2 linked regions of the Oreochromis niloticus genome follow. The protein of the gene in region 1 purifies or fractionates together with the protein of each later gene. This does not show direct contact. Links are inferred from orthologs where the notes say so. Each region holds a gene or a part of one and is shown on either strand. Other genes may lie near its edges.

What was found. Proteins that work in one complex are often made in the same cells at the same time.
Region 2: the proteins of polr2d (region 1) and rngtt purify together in Homo sapiens (affinity purification with mass spectrometry; 3 studies listed by BioGRID and IntAct, with this or other methods). This does not show direct contact. The link is inferred for Oreochromis niloticus from reciprocal best matches to the Homo sapiens genes POLR2D and RNGTT.

Annotation. Positions count from the first base shown.
Region 1 is NC_031979.2:40,020,933-40,028,433, forward strand, and holds the start of polr2d (DNA-directed RNA polymerase II subunit RPB4), read right to left. Parts: upstream 3,013-7,501; 5' UTR 2,821-3,012; coding exon 2,742-2,820; intron 2,583-2,741; coding exon 2,402-2,582; intron 2,331-2,401; coding exon 2,235-2,330; intron 1-2,234. UniProt on the Homo sapiens protein: Core component of RNA polymerase II (Pol II), a DNA-dependent RNA polymerase which synthesizes mRNA precursors and many functional non-coding RNAs using the four ribonucleoside triphosphates as substrates.
Region 2 is NC_031980.2:14,941,461-14,949,256, reverse strand, and holds the start of rngtt (mRNA-capping enzyme), read right to left. Parts: upstream 3,011-7,796; 5' UTR 2,648-3,010; coding exon 2,584-2,647; intron 2,080-2,583; exon of another isoform or gene 1,940-2,079; intron 157-1,939; coding exon 47-156; intron 1-46. Other genes in the region: interleukin-6 receptor subunit beta, read right to left, coding at 4,966-5,376, 7,504-7,585.

The DNA.
Region 1 (7,501 bases):
CTCCTTGACTCCGCGCTCAAACCAGCGTTCTTCCCTGTCCAGGATGTGTACATCCTCATCATTGAAAGAGTGTCCACTGGCCTGTAGGTGTAAATAGACTGCAGAGTCCTGGCCTGACGAGGAAGCTCTTCTGTTCTTTGATCAGTGGGTTTTGGTCAGTGATTGTTGATCAATGGTCATGGGAATTTGCATAATTATGATTAAGGAACTGACCTCACAGCCCATTGTTCCTTCAGTGGGCTGGTTTCAGTCATTATGCAAATGTACTGTTTATAAGGTTTGGGGAAACCTGCAGTCAGCTGAGACTGAAGAAGTCACTTGGATGAGTGACGAAACGTTTCTCCCACAAAACGCTACGTCCAGATGAACAGATTCAACTTTTGGAGATTTACTTTCCTGGATGATTGAGAATGCATCAAGAGTCCGACATTGTTTTGTCAAAGTTACACACCGATTCAATATTGATTTTAGTGACCTCCGATTGGCCTAAACGGGTGTCATTACTGCCGACGTGAATTATGATCTTACTTTATTTACGTTTACCTTTAGCCAGCAGTTTTAAATTTCCTTCAATGTCGCCTGCTCTGGCCCCTGGAAGACAATTGGTGTCGTAAGCCCCGCCTCTGTTCAAAGATGGTCGCTCACAGTGGACATAAATGGCTTCTTTCACTCCTCTTTCAAACCATCTGTTCTCTCTGTCCAAAATGTGAACATTGGCATTGAAATGGCGTGTCACAAATTTAGAGGATCATCATTTAGCCTGGAGAAATAGTTTGCTGCTTTATAAGAAAGCCCTCCGCAAAGCCAGAACATCTTACTATTCATCACTGATTGAAGAAAATAAGAACAACCCCAGGTTTCTCTTCAGCACTGTAGCCAGGCTGACAAACAGTCAGAGCTCTACTGAGCCAACAATCCCTTTAACATTAACTAGTAATGACTTCATGAACTTCTTCACAAATAAAATTTTTATCATTAGAGAAAAAATTACCAATAATCATCCCACAGATGTAATATTATCTACAGCTACTTTCAGTACCACTGATATTCATTTAGACTCTTTTTCTCCAATTGATCTTTCTGAGTTAACTTCAATAATTACTTCCTCCAAACCATCAACGTGTCTTTTAGACCCCATTCCTACAAAACTGCTCAAAGAAGTCCTGCCATTAATTAATGCTTCAATCTTAAATATGATCAACCTATCTCTAATAATCGGCTATGTACCACAGGCCTTCAAGGTGGCTGTAGTTAAACCTTTACTTAAAAAGCATCTCTAGACCCAGCAGTCTTAGCTAATTATAGGCCAATACTGACAGGGACTAGAAAGAGAGAGCAGATTTCTCCTGTTTTGGCTTCCCTTCATTGGCTTCCTGTTAAATCCAGAATTCAAAATCCTGCTCCTCACATACAAGGTCTTAAATAATCAGGCCCCATCTTATCTTAATGACCTTGTAGTACCATATCACCCTATTAGAGCACTTCGCTCTCGCTCTGCAGGCCTACTTGTTGTTCCTAGAGTATTTAAAAGTAGAATGGGAGGCAGAGCCTTCAGTTTTCAGGCCCCTCTTCTGTGGAACCAGCTTCCAGTTTGGATTCGGGAGACAGACACTATCTCTACTTTCAAGATTAGGCTTCAAACTTTCCTTTTTGCTAAAGCATATAGTTAGGGCTGGACCAGGTGACCCTGAATCCTCCCTTAGTTATGCTGCAATAGACGTAGGCTGCCGGGGATTCCCATGATGCATTGAGTTTTTCCTTTCCAGTCACCTTTCTCACTCACTATGTGTTAACAGACCTCTCTGCATCGAATCATATCTGTTATTAATCTCTGTCTCTCTTCCACAGCATGTCTTTATCCTGTCTTCCTTCTCTCACCCCAACCAATCACAGCAGATGGCCCCGCCCCTCCCTGAGCCTGGTTCTGCCGGAGGTTTCTTCCTGTTAAAAGGGAGTTTTTCCTTCCCACTGTCGCCAAAGTGCTTGCTCATAGGGGGTCATATGATTGTTGGGTTTTCTCTGTATGTATTATTGTAGGGTCTACCTTGTAGTATAAAGCGGATTTAGGCGACTGTTGTTGTGATTTGGAGCTGTATAAATAAAACTGAATTGAATTGAACCTGCCTGTGTGTTTAACTCAGCTAGTTATGAACTGTGGAGCAGCTCCTGTACCTCAACACTGCAGCTGTAACAAAGGCTTTTATTGTTCCTGCTGTGACGTGGATCGGACTTACCTGGGGATCAGGGCTTTGGCCTCCTCGGCGGCTTCTGGACACAGGTTGGCCAAACTGGCGAGCTCGAACTTGTGGAGCTTCTTCTGCAGCAGGAGGCTGAAGACAGAGAGATGACAGGGGTCAGAACTGGATTGCCTCGGACCTGGGCAGGGGCCGGGGGGGCGTACCTGCGCACGGCCGTGATGGTCTCGCGGTTCTTGAAGCGGCTGAAGCGGGCCGTGTAGTTGAGGGTCTTCATGAAGACCTCGGACAGCTCCTGCTCGTCCTCGGCGCTCTCGTTCTGCTGCTTCCTGTGCTCCAGCAACATGTGGACCTCGGAGTTCAGTAGCGTCTCCGCGTTCTCGAACTCTGAGGAGGAGGAGGGGGTTAACATCTGTCAATCACTCAGCACACAGGCTCAGAGAACCCACAGACAGCAGCTCGGTCTGTGTACCCACGTGCACCCACGGACCGCCTGCGCGTGTCGGTAGTTGTTCGAGAGTGCGTGCGCGCGCTGCAGGTACTCACCTTTAGGAAAGAGCAGCTGAGAAGCGTCCTCTTCAACATCACCAACATGCGGAGGAGCCGCGCCGCCTCCAGCCGCCATGTCGAGGAGCAGTCCCGGCTACAGGCCGGGGAGTGTGAAGCCGCCCGGAGGGTGAGACACAGGCGCCCGGTCAAGCCCGGCAGCCCGGTAACAAAGCGCAGGTCGGGGAGGAGGTCGGGGGGTAGAAAGCAGCTCCGCCGATCCGCACCGCAAGAAAACAGCGAGAGCTACTTCCGGGGCGCCCGCGGTCACTTCCGCTCTTTGTGGCGACATTAAAGAACATTATGAAAAACAGAAGGAGGGTGCAGTTTGTGCCAAAGATACGACAATATAAAAAAATAAATTACATAAAACTAGAGAATCAGATCGACAGTTCATTTTCCTGTCTGGCAGGAATCCTTTCAAAGTAACAGTCTCTGCTTGCAGCGCCCTCCTGCGGACGGGAGCGGCAGCGTCTCACTGAGTGTCAGAGAATCGTTTTAAGCAGTTTAAGGAAGATTCTTTTCTTTCATGAGCGCCGGGAGCCGCTGAAACCCGACAAGAAGAAACAGAACAACCGAAATCTGTCTCAGCGGTCGTAAAAGGGAGACTGCGTTGGCCGGGAATCGAACCCGGGTCAACTGCTTGGAAGGCAGCTATGCTAACCACTATACCACCAACGCCTGAAAGCAATGGTGCTGTACCACAATAAAACACACGCAGCATCAGCGACACTCAATATGGCGTAACGTGACGGCTGTGACCTCACGGCAGGGAGGTCCTGGGTATCAGAGAAACTCAGCAGAGGCTTCTCCAAGCACACCGGCCACAAAGTCAACAACCTAGTGTAGCTGTGCAGTACAGCGACGACAGCTCAGACCTGGAAAAACCAAACAGCCACTTCATAACATCAGTTATCAATTTTATTTCTATAGCACATTTAAAAGCAACAAAGTTGCCCAAAGTGCTTCACAAGTAGTTCATGAACAAGAGAAAATGGAAAAATAACACATGATATGAGGCAAAGGCAACATATTTAACATAAAAACAAAACAAACACAAAACAAACCTGATGGTGCTCAAACTGAACTTTGAGTTTCATCAAGCCAGCGTAAAAAAGTGAGTTTCAAGACGAGATTTGAAACACTGTATAGACCAGGGGTCTGCAACCTTTTACACCCAAAGAGCCACTTGGACCCGGTTTCCACGCAAAAGAAAACACTGGGAGCCGCAAATACTTTTTGACATCTAAAATGAAGATAACACTGTATATATTGTTTTTTACCTTTGTGCTTTGTGTGAACAACTAAGGTGTGTTGCTTATGAAATCCATGAAGTGCTACAGAGAAAATTACATTTTATTTACGTAATTAACACATTTTGAACTCTTAAAGAAATATAACAAAAGGAAAGACACCCAGCTGAACTAAAATGATCCATGTAGCAAACAAAAACTGTTGTCAGCCGCCACCCTTATATCTCCTTTGGGCTGTTGGAGCCTTGACCTGACTCTTAAAAAATAATTGGAAAAAAGCACTATGCTGCTGAAAAATGAAAAATAGATATTTGCAAAATTCTGCCTAAATATGTATTTTACCTGGTTAACGCGTGCGGCGGGGCGTGGTTTGCAGCGCCGCTGCAGGGGAGGCGGACGCACCTGAGCGACACCCGCAATCACGCCTCGCCGCCTTTACGTCTGCGCTATCTGTGCTGTTGTGTTGTTGGTGGTGTATGTTGGGCTGTGAGCTGAAAGGCTACAGCCGGCTGTATGCGTACAGCAACCGTGTGTGAAAAGTGCTCAATAAAGAGATGCTCAAAAGCGTGTTCATGGAAACATCGTCGGGTCTGCCGTGATATGTTTACAATGGGACTTTGCTCCTGAACCTCTGTGCACAGAGTCCGCAAATCGGGGATATACGAAGTCAGTTTACTCACGGTGTTTGTCTTTATCATAGTTCACGGTGGAGAACAGCTGCTGACATAATGTGTATCCGAAGATCCGTAGGGTTGAAAGTCTCGATAAATGCACGGCGTTTCGGCGGGTATACCGGCTTCCGCGAGTGTGACTCTTATTTTGAGCGATGAAAAAAATAATAGAATATAATTTTATTTTTATATTTCAAAATCACAACAATCTTCCAATTTAGAACTACGAGTTAAAAAGAACTAACATAAATAAAATACACTTCAGCTAAATACTTCTAATTTATTTTCCCAAACCACGCGGAGCCGCAGTATAAGGACTAAAGAGCCGCATGCGGCTCCGGAGCCGCGGGTTGCCGACCCCTGGTATAGACTCTGAAGTACGAATATCAAGTGGCAAGTGATTCCCAGTGTTGGGAAGGGTACATTTAAATGTATTTCACTACAGATTGCAGAATACATGCCCCAAAATGTATTTTGTAACATATTTGTAACTGAATACTTTGGATTACTTAATCTATTGTCATAATTTTTACAACTACATGAATGTCCTATTGCTGTGTGACTTATTACTATTACTGAAGGTTACTCGCCATACCAATACCAACTAGATTTTTAAATCTTAATATAAAATGAGTAAAAGTAGGGTGGACATTAGGTAAGGCTGCACTTTTTGCAGCGATCTCGTACAGAAAACTATTTCTGTATCAGTAATATGTTTTCTTTCTGTCTGTTAATAATCATGTGGAACTGCACATGATTATTTGCAACTAGCAGGTTGTTAATGCTATCCATCAAGTCTAAAAACAGCATGTTAATACGTGGAGATCCTGAAAGCTGCTCCAAAAAGGATCAGATTATATTTGAAATATTTGTTCAATTCTCCTCCAAACCCCAGCAGCTGTCTGCTGTAAGTTTTGACTGTTTACTAAAATAATAATAAAAGTGTTCCAACATCTCACTGGTTTTGTTCAGGCATACATGTGTACCGTGTTTATTAAAAGAGATGAAGCTTGCGTTTCTGTCATGTAGTGATTATGCTTAGCTGTATGACGCTTATTAGACATGAAACAGATGATACATAAAAGTGAATTTTGCCAAAGTGCTTAAGATTCTTTTTTAAATTATCTTTTTTTCTTAACGAAATCTACGACATCATGTGTAATTTTTTAATGTCATGTGTAATTTCCATTGCAAATATTAATCACAGTTAAATTAAGAGGGGATGGAGCTGTGATGTCATCACGTACACTGCCGTTACAATTGTAGAACGATTGCGCTACATTCTCGGGAAGTCCGAACTCCCGTGTGAACTTAGGTCTGGACTAGTGAAAGTATTTAGAAACAGTCTAACAGTCTGCAGTCTATGAACTAACCTCAGCTAACACCAGCTAACAATGTTAGCTGTGTTGAGTATCCTTCATTAATAGTAATAAAAATCACACAGCAATAGCACATTGAAGATAATGAAGTTTCCCATTCTACTTTCTACTATTCCCATTCGGAATTTCCAAGTAAGAAATGCATTGTGAAGGCCCGATCTCCTCTATGCTTCAGTCGAGACCTCGGCTGTACTAAGAGCATCTGGCTGGACCATCTCGGTGCTCTTTTGGGGTTTTATATGTTGAGGAGTTTCCTTAAAGCATTTAACACTTTGAGAGTAAGTAAAAGACTCATGAAATCAATTTAGATGCAGCTGTTCATCTGCATCCAAAGTTCAAAGGTCACTCTCTGAGAATGCCAGTGTTCACATTGTGGACAGAGAAAACAGTTTGAAAGAGGAGTGAACGAAGCATCTATGTCCACTGTGAGCGACCATCTTTGAACAGAGGGTGGGGCTTACCACACCAACTGTCTGCCATCTATAATCCGGTCGTTTTAACGCCCACTCACACCTTGGGTCAGTTGATTTCAGTAGGTCACATGATGGGGGTCAGGGTCTTTGAGTGGTTTCACCTGCTGATGATGACACACACCCTTTTCACACCTTGGGTCATGTGATGAGCAGTGTTGGTCAAGTTACTTGAAAATACTAATTAGTTACTAATTACTGATCACTTCTCTAAGAAAGTAATCCCATTACTTATGTGTAATAAAGCAACAGACCTTTCAGCCCAATTCTATTTTTTCTCCATAAACCATCATATAAAACTGAATCAAATGAAAAAGTCTCTTTTTAAAACTTGTTTCATTAGTTTTAATCTTTTAACTTTTTGCATCAAGCAAAAATTAAATTATATGCAACAGTCTTTGACTTGAAGAAATATGTTTAACATTTAAACATATTGTCTGCATATTCCAGCATATAAACTAAAATCATGTTTTGTGTTTACACTCACTCTTTCAAATAGATGCAAGTAAAACACAGCAGAAAATAAATAAAATCAAAGATTCAGCAGCACTTAAATCTATTGTCACCTGTTTAGCAGCAATGGGGCGGGTGGAGGTTTGCCCACAGCGGTCATTCAAGATTCAAGATTCAAAGATTCAAAGTGCTTATTGTCATGTGTATAGAAGAAAAAGCATTTCTCCCTGCAATGAAAACCCTCCTTTGCTGTCCATACACAAATGTATGGAAGGTAAGAGTTGGAGGAACAAGATAAATAAGGATAAAAAATAGTGAAAGATAAATAAATAAGTACAAAAATAAGTCAATGAAGATAAGTGAGGTATGCAGTTGTCAATGTAAATGGATGTACAAAGGAGCTTAATGTACAAAATGAACTTAGTGTGAAAATTATCCTGATGTGTAAATTGCATTTGAGGTAGGTCAGCTGTTCAGGAGTCTGATAGCAGTGGGGAAGAAGGAGTGATCATGTCAGTGGGAGGATCCGGGGGT
Region 2 (7,796 bases), on another chromosome or scaffold:
TTTTGTGTGCCACTTTAATACTTCAGTCCTTGCTGAGGGTACTTACCTTTAGACTTTTTAAATAGTTGGACAGCATGCTCGGATTAAATCTGTTCTCCTCTGCAACTTGGTCATCATATCTGGGACCTAACATCGTTTTCATTGGCAGGAATTTACCTAGGAAGGAGAAATGTAATGAATGAAACAAAAATCCTATAGTATTCTAGCATTGAAACTATCTTGTATGAGCAGGGACAGCGGCTTTGTCCCTAATTTAATGACTAATTTTTAGGGTTACGGCTAAGAGTCTAACTTCATACCAAGTCAAATCTACAAATTCAGAAAAATCAATAAAAAAATCAAATCACTGACTAAGTATTTGTCAAGGTCACATTCAATTAAGCATTAGACAGCACCCCAAGTGCATTTGTTTTGTAAAGAACTTGGTTAATAGCCAATAAAACTGTGGATCCATTTGTGTAAACTACACTGAATTTCTTAGAATAAAAGCCTGGAATAAAAGTGCCACCAACTCCAGCTGTGCCTTCAAACAGAGCATCTGTGTAAGCTGTTGCACTGTTATAAAGTTGAGGCGGAGAGGAGACAAGCCTGCAATTGCAGGTCTTACAGAAATGTCTTAACATCACATAACTGTAATGATAACAATGATGAATGGGCAAAATAAAACCGTAACATCAATACTTTTGTATAAAGTGTTAACAAGACAGCCTTGCATCACTTAAGCATGGGAACTTGGATCAATCCACTTGCACTGTCTACTTTTGACCTTATAATTTCCTTCTACTTATGTTGAGCTGTTATATTGACAGTTGTACATTGCAATAAGGAATAAATATAGGAACAGATCTATATCCACAGTCCATACTGCCATTCGTATCAACACAGTTTTATCTACATCTACCCTTTCAAGCCTGTCACATCAGTCAGCTGCACTATTAATACAGAACATAATGTAGAAAAAATTGCACACATTCCCAAAGTCTGTTACTGACCACTGAATTATTTAGGATATACTCAGGCTGTCTATCACTGACCAGTCCCAGAAAACACTGGTACACTTCTAGCTATGAAGTACAGTTGTCCACCTGTCTGTCTTTGCTCCAAGACACTACACTCCAAGAAACAGCTCCTTTCCTTAACCTCAATGACATTTTCATCAATGTCAAGGAAAAGAAGCTGGGAAGTAGTTTTAAAGATACCCCAGCTGTACAGCATTTCTGTCCCTCATGCTCTTGATCCACCTTTTTTGATTGGCTTAGGTTTTACAAAGGCAACACTACAAATCAGACACTTTTCTAAAGTCTGGCTTTTAATGAAAGATTCGGAGGTCAAAGAAAGAACGTCATTGTCCGTCTCTTGCAGGTTAACAAGTCTTTCACAGAAAACATCAAGTGACCACAGACTTACAAGCTACACAGATTTTTGCGCAATATGATAGAAACAGTCACAACTAAAATTAAATCCAGCTACAGTCAGTTAAAACGTCTAATAACTGTATGAAACTGGTGGAAAGTGAATTCTCCGATACTTTGGTTCATTTTTTTTCTCAGTTATTTTGGATCTTAAAAGAAACCTGAAGCTCAAACACAGATGTAGCAGCTGATGGGTGCATACCTAAGATAAGATAAGATAAGATAAGATAAAGATAAAGATAAGATAAGATAAGATAAGAGTTTATTGATCCCACGGCGGGGAAATTTGTGCGTTACCACAGCTCAGGTACAGATAGCAGAAGAATACAAAGACTATACCAGAATAATTCCAAAATACCTACTGGAAATCATAGTATTATCAGACAAAAACAGCAATTGGAATAACAGTTAAGAGTTTATAGATTATAAAAAACAAAAGAGAAAGAAAGGTGGCATTCAAATACATTAAAAAAAAATGCTTCTCATGCTAAACGCCTCTCAGCACTAGTAACGTGTCACACACATACAGTATGCTCGCCGTGAGCTCCTCAAGCCATAGCCCCGGTTTGTTTGGACACGTGATTCTTTGACGGTGAAGCATACCCACTTAGCAGCACTTTTCTGAAGCTCTTTTTAAAACGTTTTCTTTTAAAACTAATAGACTCCCATACTTGGTGTTTGTTCAACATTAAAGTCACACTAAAAGCTGAAAAGAAGCGGAAAACGTTGCTAAATAGTTACCGTTAGCGACCTAGCAAAAAGAGCGCGCACGAATACAGTGTCAGAGAAATTTTCATTAAAAAAATGCCAAAATTAAGTTAATTTCATATAAATACTAAATGAACAAACCTTTTTAACTAAATCAAGCTTAAAAAATTTGTTGACGTCATTCAATGAAATCGGCGCTTTGATTTACACCTCATTTAAAAGATAAAGTATTCATTTTTACAACAGAGAAACAGAGCTTAAATATGTGGTAATCTGTCTGTACTTAAAGACCGAACGTGAACCAAGACAGCCCATTACTGCTACTTAAATCTGACAGTCTAAAATAATAAATAAGTGATATATATCAGGCAACAAGCATCACAGCAACACCAGTGCACGAAGCTAACTAGTAGCAATAGCTTCATCTGGTAAATAAAACACTTTTGGTTAAATTTACACTAACCTGCCACAGGTTGCCCTCTTCTAGGACAATTGCGCCATCGAGGAGGAGGTCCGTTATTTGACATGTTGAGTTGAGGTTGGTAATATCTAAAAGCTTGTAATATCAATAACCCCGTTGCTTGATGCTGCCTCTCTCCCCCTACAGCAGATGCTGGGTAGATATTCACCCGAGCACTGCGGACTCAGGGCCCTTTAGCTCCTAATTCAGGAGAATCACCAAGCACGTTTAAGCCCGGTTAACCTTCTGACAGACCAGGAGGCATTTTACACGAAACGCAGGCTGTTCCGATCCACTGCAGATCAGCCTCTGAAGAAATTCAGCTATCTTTTTCATTTGTCTACCATAAATCTAGGTTTTTAGCAATCAGCTAGCAACACCTCAGTGATCCTTCTTCTTCTTCTACTGGTATTTTTCTACGGCGGCAAATCGTATCTGTGCATTATCGCCACCCTTTGGACTGAAATGGTTGCTGCAGCAGCTTGAAAGCTAGTTCATTTATTCATTTATTTACAAAGAAGAAAAAAAACACAAAACCCCCCACAAACGTTCTTACCTTATTATTTTATTTATTTGTCAACACTGCTTTAAATTTTTAATTTATTTGTTATTTATATTCTACAGTTCGATGGTGAGTAAATGCTCCAAAATTTAACTCTGATTCTAACTGGTTTATATTCTGAAGGACAATAAAGTGGTTATTCTATTCTATTCTATTCTATTCTATTCTATTCTATTCTATATGTGTTTAGCTCCTCTCTCCTCGTTATGTAGACCTATAGTTCTTTTTTATTTCCCCCACCTGTTGACAATACACAAAAATGTGTAATTGTTTCTTTCTGTCTTTATATTTCATACCTTTCTTTTAATATATTTTGACAGTTTTACATGTCTTTGATTGATTATCTCTTTTAGCTGTGGGGCAGATATTACTTGGCTTAAAAAATACATATATCCTGTATCTCTAGTATTTATTTTATTGCATGTTGTCTCATGTCTTGTGGCTCTGTTTAAAGGTTTTCAAAAGTTTATTGGCAACTTCAGGAGATTTCTTTACACCAACCAGATCAAGTGAGAAGTATGCAGTACAATAAACAGAGATTGAAATCCAAATGAAGTAGTGGATTGGACTCCCTTTTTACATCCAGAGATACCTTAATTATTTATGGCATAGACTCAACAAAGTGCTGGAAACATCCCTCTGAGATTTTGGTTCATATTGACATGATGTCATCACACAGCTGGTGCAAATTTGCCAACCGCGTCAATGATGGAAATCCCCTGTAACACCACCTCCCAAAGCTGCTCTTTTGGATTAAGTTCTGATGATTGTTGAGGCCATTTGAATGCAGGGAACTCACTGTCATGTTGAAGAAATAAGTTTGAGATGATCTCAGCTTTGTGATATCGTGCCGAAAAAGTGTCCCCCATAACCATTACGTCAGCAGCAGCAGCCTGCACCACTGATACAAGACAGGATAGATCCAATCCTGTTGTTTATGCCAAATTCATGCAGGAGGTGAGTGTACACCACACAACACCATAGAACACTGGTGTATGTGTGCATAATTTAGCTTGAAATATTAACACATTTTTTCCCTTTCACCAGTCTAACAGTGCATTAGTGGAAAATAAAAGTGAGCTGGCTCCCTTCCGTATGAACGTGTACTGTGGTTTCTCCAATTACACTCAGTGCCATGCACATTACAAAGCCTTGCTCACACTAATATATGATTACATGCAGAATACTTCAAACATTTTGTCATCAAATAACAAAAAAGGGTGTCAAGTACAACATTTATTCACTTTATTTCATACTCTTTTGTTTTTGTCTGTTTACGAGACATATGACAGTCCTTATGACGCTTCTGCGTGAATATTTATCAACACAATAACAAAATTTACATTTTAATGACTGCTCCAGTTTACAAATGACACAAAGCAGTAAAGCAAAAAAAAAATGCAGTGAGTCACACCTCAACAAACATCAAGCATATAATACATGGCTAAAATATTTACAACAAAATATCACAATACTATAATACAGACTATACATAAAACCAGGATCAGTGTCATAGCAAAGCATGTCTAGAATGCTAAATCCTGGGAACACTATATCATATTATCAGTGTTGATAACTCATATCCTTAAATCTTTTCATCACTTCACATTAAATGAAACCTATTCTTGCTGCACGGCTGAATACATTAAGATGACCTAATAAAGCAGTTACTACGTACACAAAAACAGTCATATATGTTTGTATCCTGTTGTTCCACAGTGCTAGGCAACTTAATGACACAAACACAGTCATATCAAACCATATCTATTTCTGTTACAGCTGACTGACTGCAAATCTATCTGCATCATTTACTTTCACTGCTCTCACCTGTTATGATCTTGTTCAATCATGTCTAATGTGACATATATGGTCTTAAGTAATGCCCTTTCTTGCTGTTTTACTGGCACATGCTTACTCTGTTTAGCAGTCTCTGGGACAGGACTCTCCACAGAACTCTGACTTCGATAGGGGTTGGCTGTGCTGCTCTCTGAGGAAATTAATGCTGTGGATTCTCCAGGAGAGGGAGGAGTCTTTGCAGGTTCAACTGGACTTTCATCCTCCGTATAAAGACCAAGAGTCATTCCTGAGTTTGCGTAGTCCACAATGTATTCACTGGCTGTGTGAGTATCATAGCCTATAACTGGTGAAGGGGTAGATGTGCTCTGCGCTTTCTCTGGGTATACTGTATCACAGTGGCTTTCAGATGGATTTCTGAATGGCTGGAAGCAGATTCCCTATGGATACAAACACACAGACAGAAGGGAGCCGTAAAACAAAAAGCTAGGATGAATTACAGCAGCTTTTATATATTATCAAGACTCGGGCATGGATTGTTTCTGTAGCCAGTGAAAGCTAAACCCTACATAGACATGATAACTCAGGATAGAGGACCTCTGGAAGAGGGAAGATGTTAAAGGAGTCACAGTGCATGGACACATAAATGAGTTCATGACAGAAACTTCAAACTAGGACAAAAAACATCTGTAAAAACCAGTGTGCCGTTCCAGAAAGCAGGTTCAACAAACTCGGGAACTTAGCATAAACTCTGAGTTGCGATAAACTTAGAGAGTTGAAACAGCCCTGATTATGTTCACCCTGAGTTAAGAATGCATGCGTGAAGGAGGATAGCGATCATCGGTGAAGCTCTGATACCAGGATTCCCCATGGCAACAGGTAAATAAAGAGCAGCACATGAATGCTTTTGAATCTGGACCGTGATAGCTATCATAAAAAAAACATGAGGGGAGAAAAGAGTCATTTAAAATCCTCCAACTTGAATTGTTTTAATCGCTGAAGCTCGAATACCACCAAATTTTACATTTGATTTTTAGATCAGATTTTTCAGTTGTAATCTGACAAATTACAGAAAACGAAAACTGAAGATATGGAGCAAACTCATAAGACAGTTTACTCATGGACCTGCGATATCAGTCAACCCAGTAAGAGTGATTTTGGAGATTATCAGTGCGAGTAGTTGAGGAATTTTCAGACATCGCACTTACTAAATGTTGCTCAATGTCATTTGACTGTATTTCAGTGCATGACTATATTCGAGCCCGAAGTGCTATCAGAACATATTAGAGCTCTCTGCAGTTATGCAAACATAGCATATCAGCACAAATATTAATGTGGGCTAATTTTACAGTCACCTTGGGGTCACTGAGTAGAGTCAAATGTGAGGCCATCTGCCCCTAGAGGTAAAGCTAAGCTCAGCTCTAAAGTTACAGCGAGGCACACTATGTATCGCACCATCAGTGCATTGTAAACATGCATATATGGATTTGGTAATACAGATAATATATGCATATTTTTATACTTGAGCCTAATCTGTCTTCACTGCTAGAACTGTGACTACAAAAATACAGAACACACCAAAAATACTTGTTCAGTCAAAGTAATTTCATAATACTAATTTATGACAAACTAAAGGGATTTTTGTGTCTCCGTGGGATACTAATTTTTATAGTTTTTAATAAAACTGATCATAATAGTGCTTATTTCCAACTGGGGTTTTATGTTTTGTCAAGCCAGCTAAGGCAAAGAAAGCCTGGTTGTGTTGAACTTCCTTTATAATATAGGCCTCAGGAAGTCTGGAGGGAAACTGTTTAAGATGACATTCATAAAACCACTTTCAGGAGAACTGAAAATACCAATTATTTTCATTTTTTATTAATCCGACTGCCAGATTTTGGTAGTTAACTTTTTGATTAAATCACAGAATCTTTCTTTCAGATCTCAGAAAATTGAGGTAAATGTGCAATGATCAAGAAAAAACATCTTAAACAGCTTTTACTCAGTTTGTTGACACACGCGACAAGGTAAAACAGAAGTAAATTACTGAGTAGTCACTTTAGCAGAAATACAGAATAACATTCAGCTTCTCTACAATTCAAGAAAGCACACTGATGTATTTCTACCTTTTTTTTCTCCTGACAATGAAAAACCTACAATTTAATCATGTGACTTCTTGAGCAACATTAATGCAGATATAATGTATCCCACTGGACAGCCTCAGATAATAACACACATGAAGTTAAAAACAAGCAGAGACGCGTGAGCACAAAGAAAATGTAGAAAACACATGTGAACAGACACAAGGACTGGACTATTTATACACCAAGGAGTGATTTGGGACTAGAAACGGGAGAAAAACAAGACAGATGTGCACATAAACAAAACAGATGGTGGGGACAAAAAAACAATCTGAAAAACTAAAAGAAGACAAACGAGAAAACAAACAAACAAAGTAAAAATGAGAAGAGGAAACAATAACTCAAAAACCTAAACTACATGTGAAAATATCACCGCCCCATCCCGCAAAGTTCATCATCATAAATCGACGGCCATGACATCCTCGTCACCTTTTGTTGGCTTTGCGATGCCCAAACACCCACAGAGCTGAGAGCTGGATTTGGCACGGGCTTCTCCTGGAATTTCTTCCATCTGAACAAATAACACACATCATTAACACATCGTCAGAAAGAAATCTGGAGAAGTGTACGGTGCCAAAAATTTAATCACAACATGACCACAGTGTCTTAACACATCAGAGCCTGTCTTCCACTATTAATGGGCTGGAAATGTTCTTGGTTCAGTGTTTGCTTTTAAAAGGAGCTCATAACAAATCATCAATAACAAAAAGAGACTGAAACTT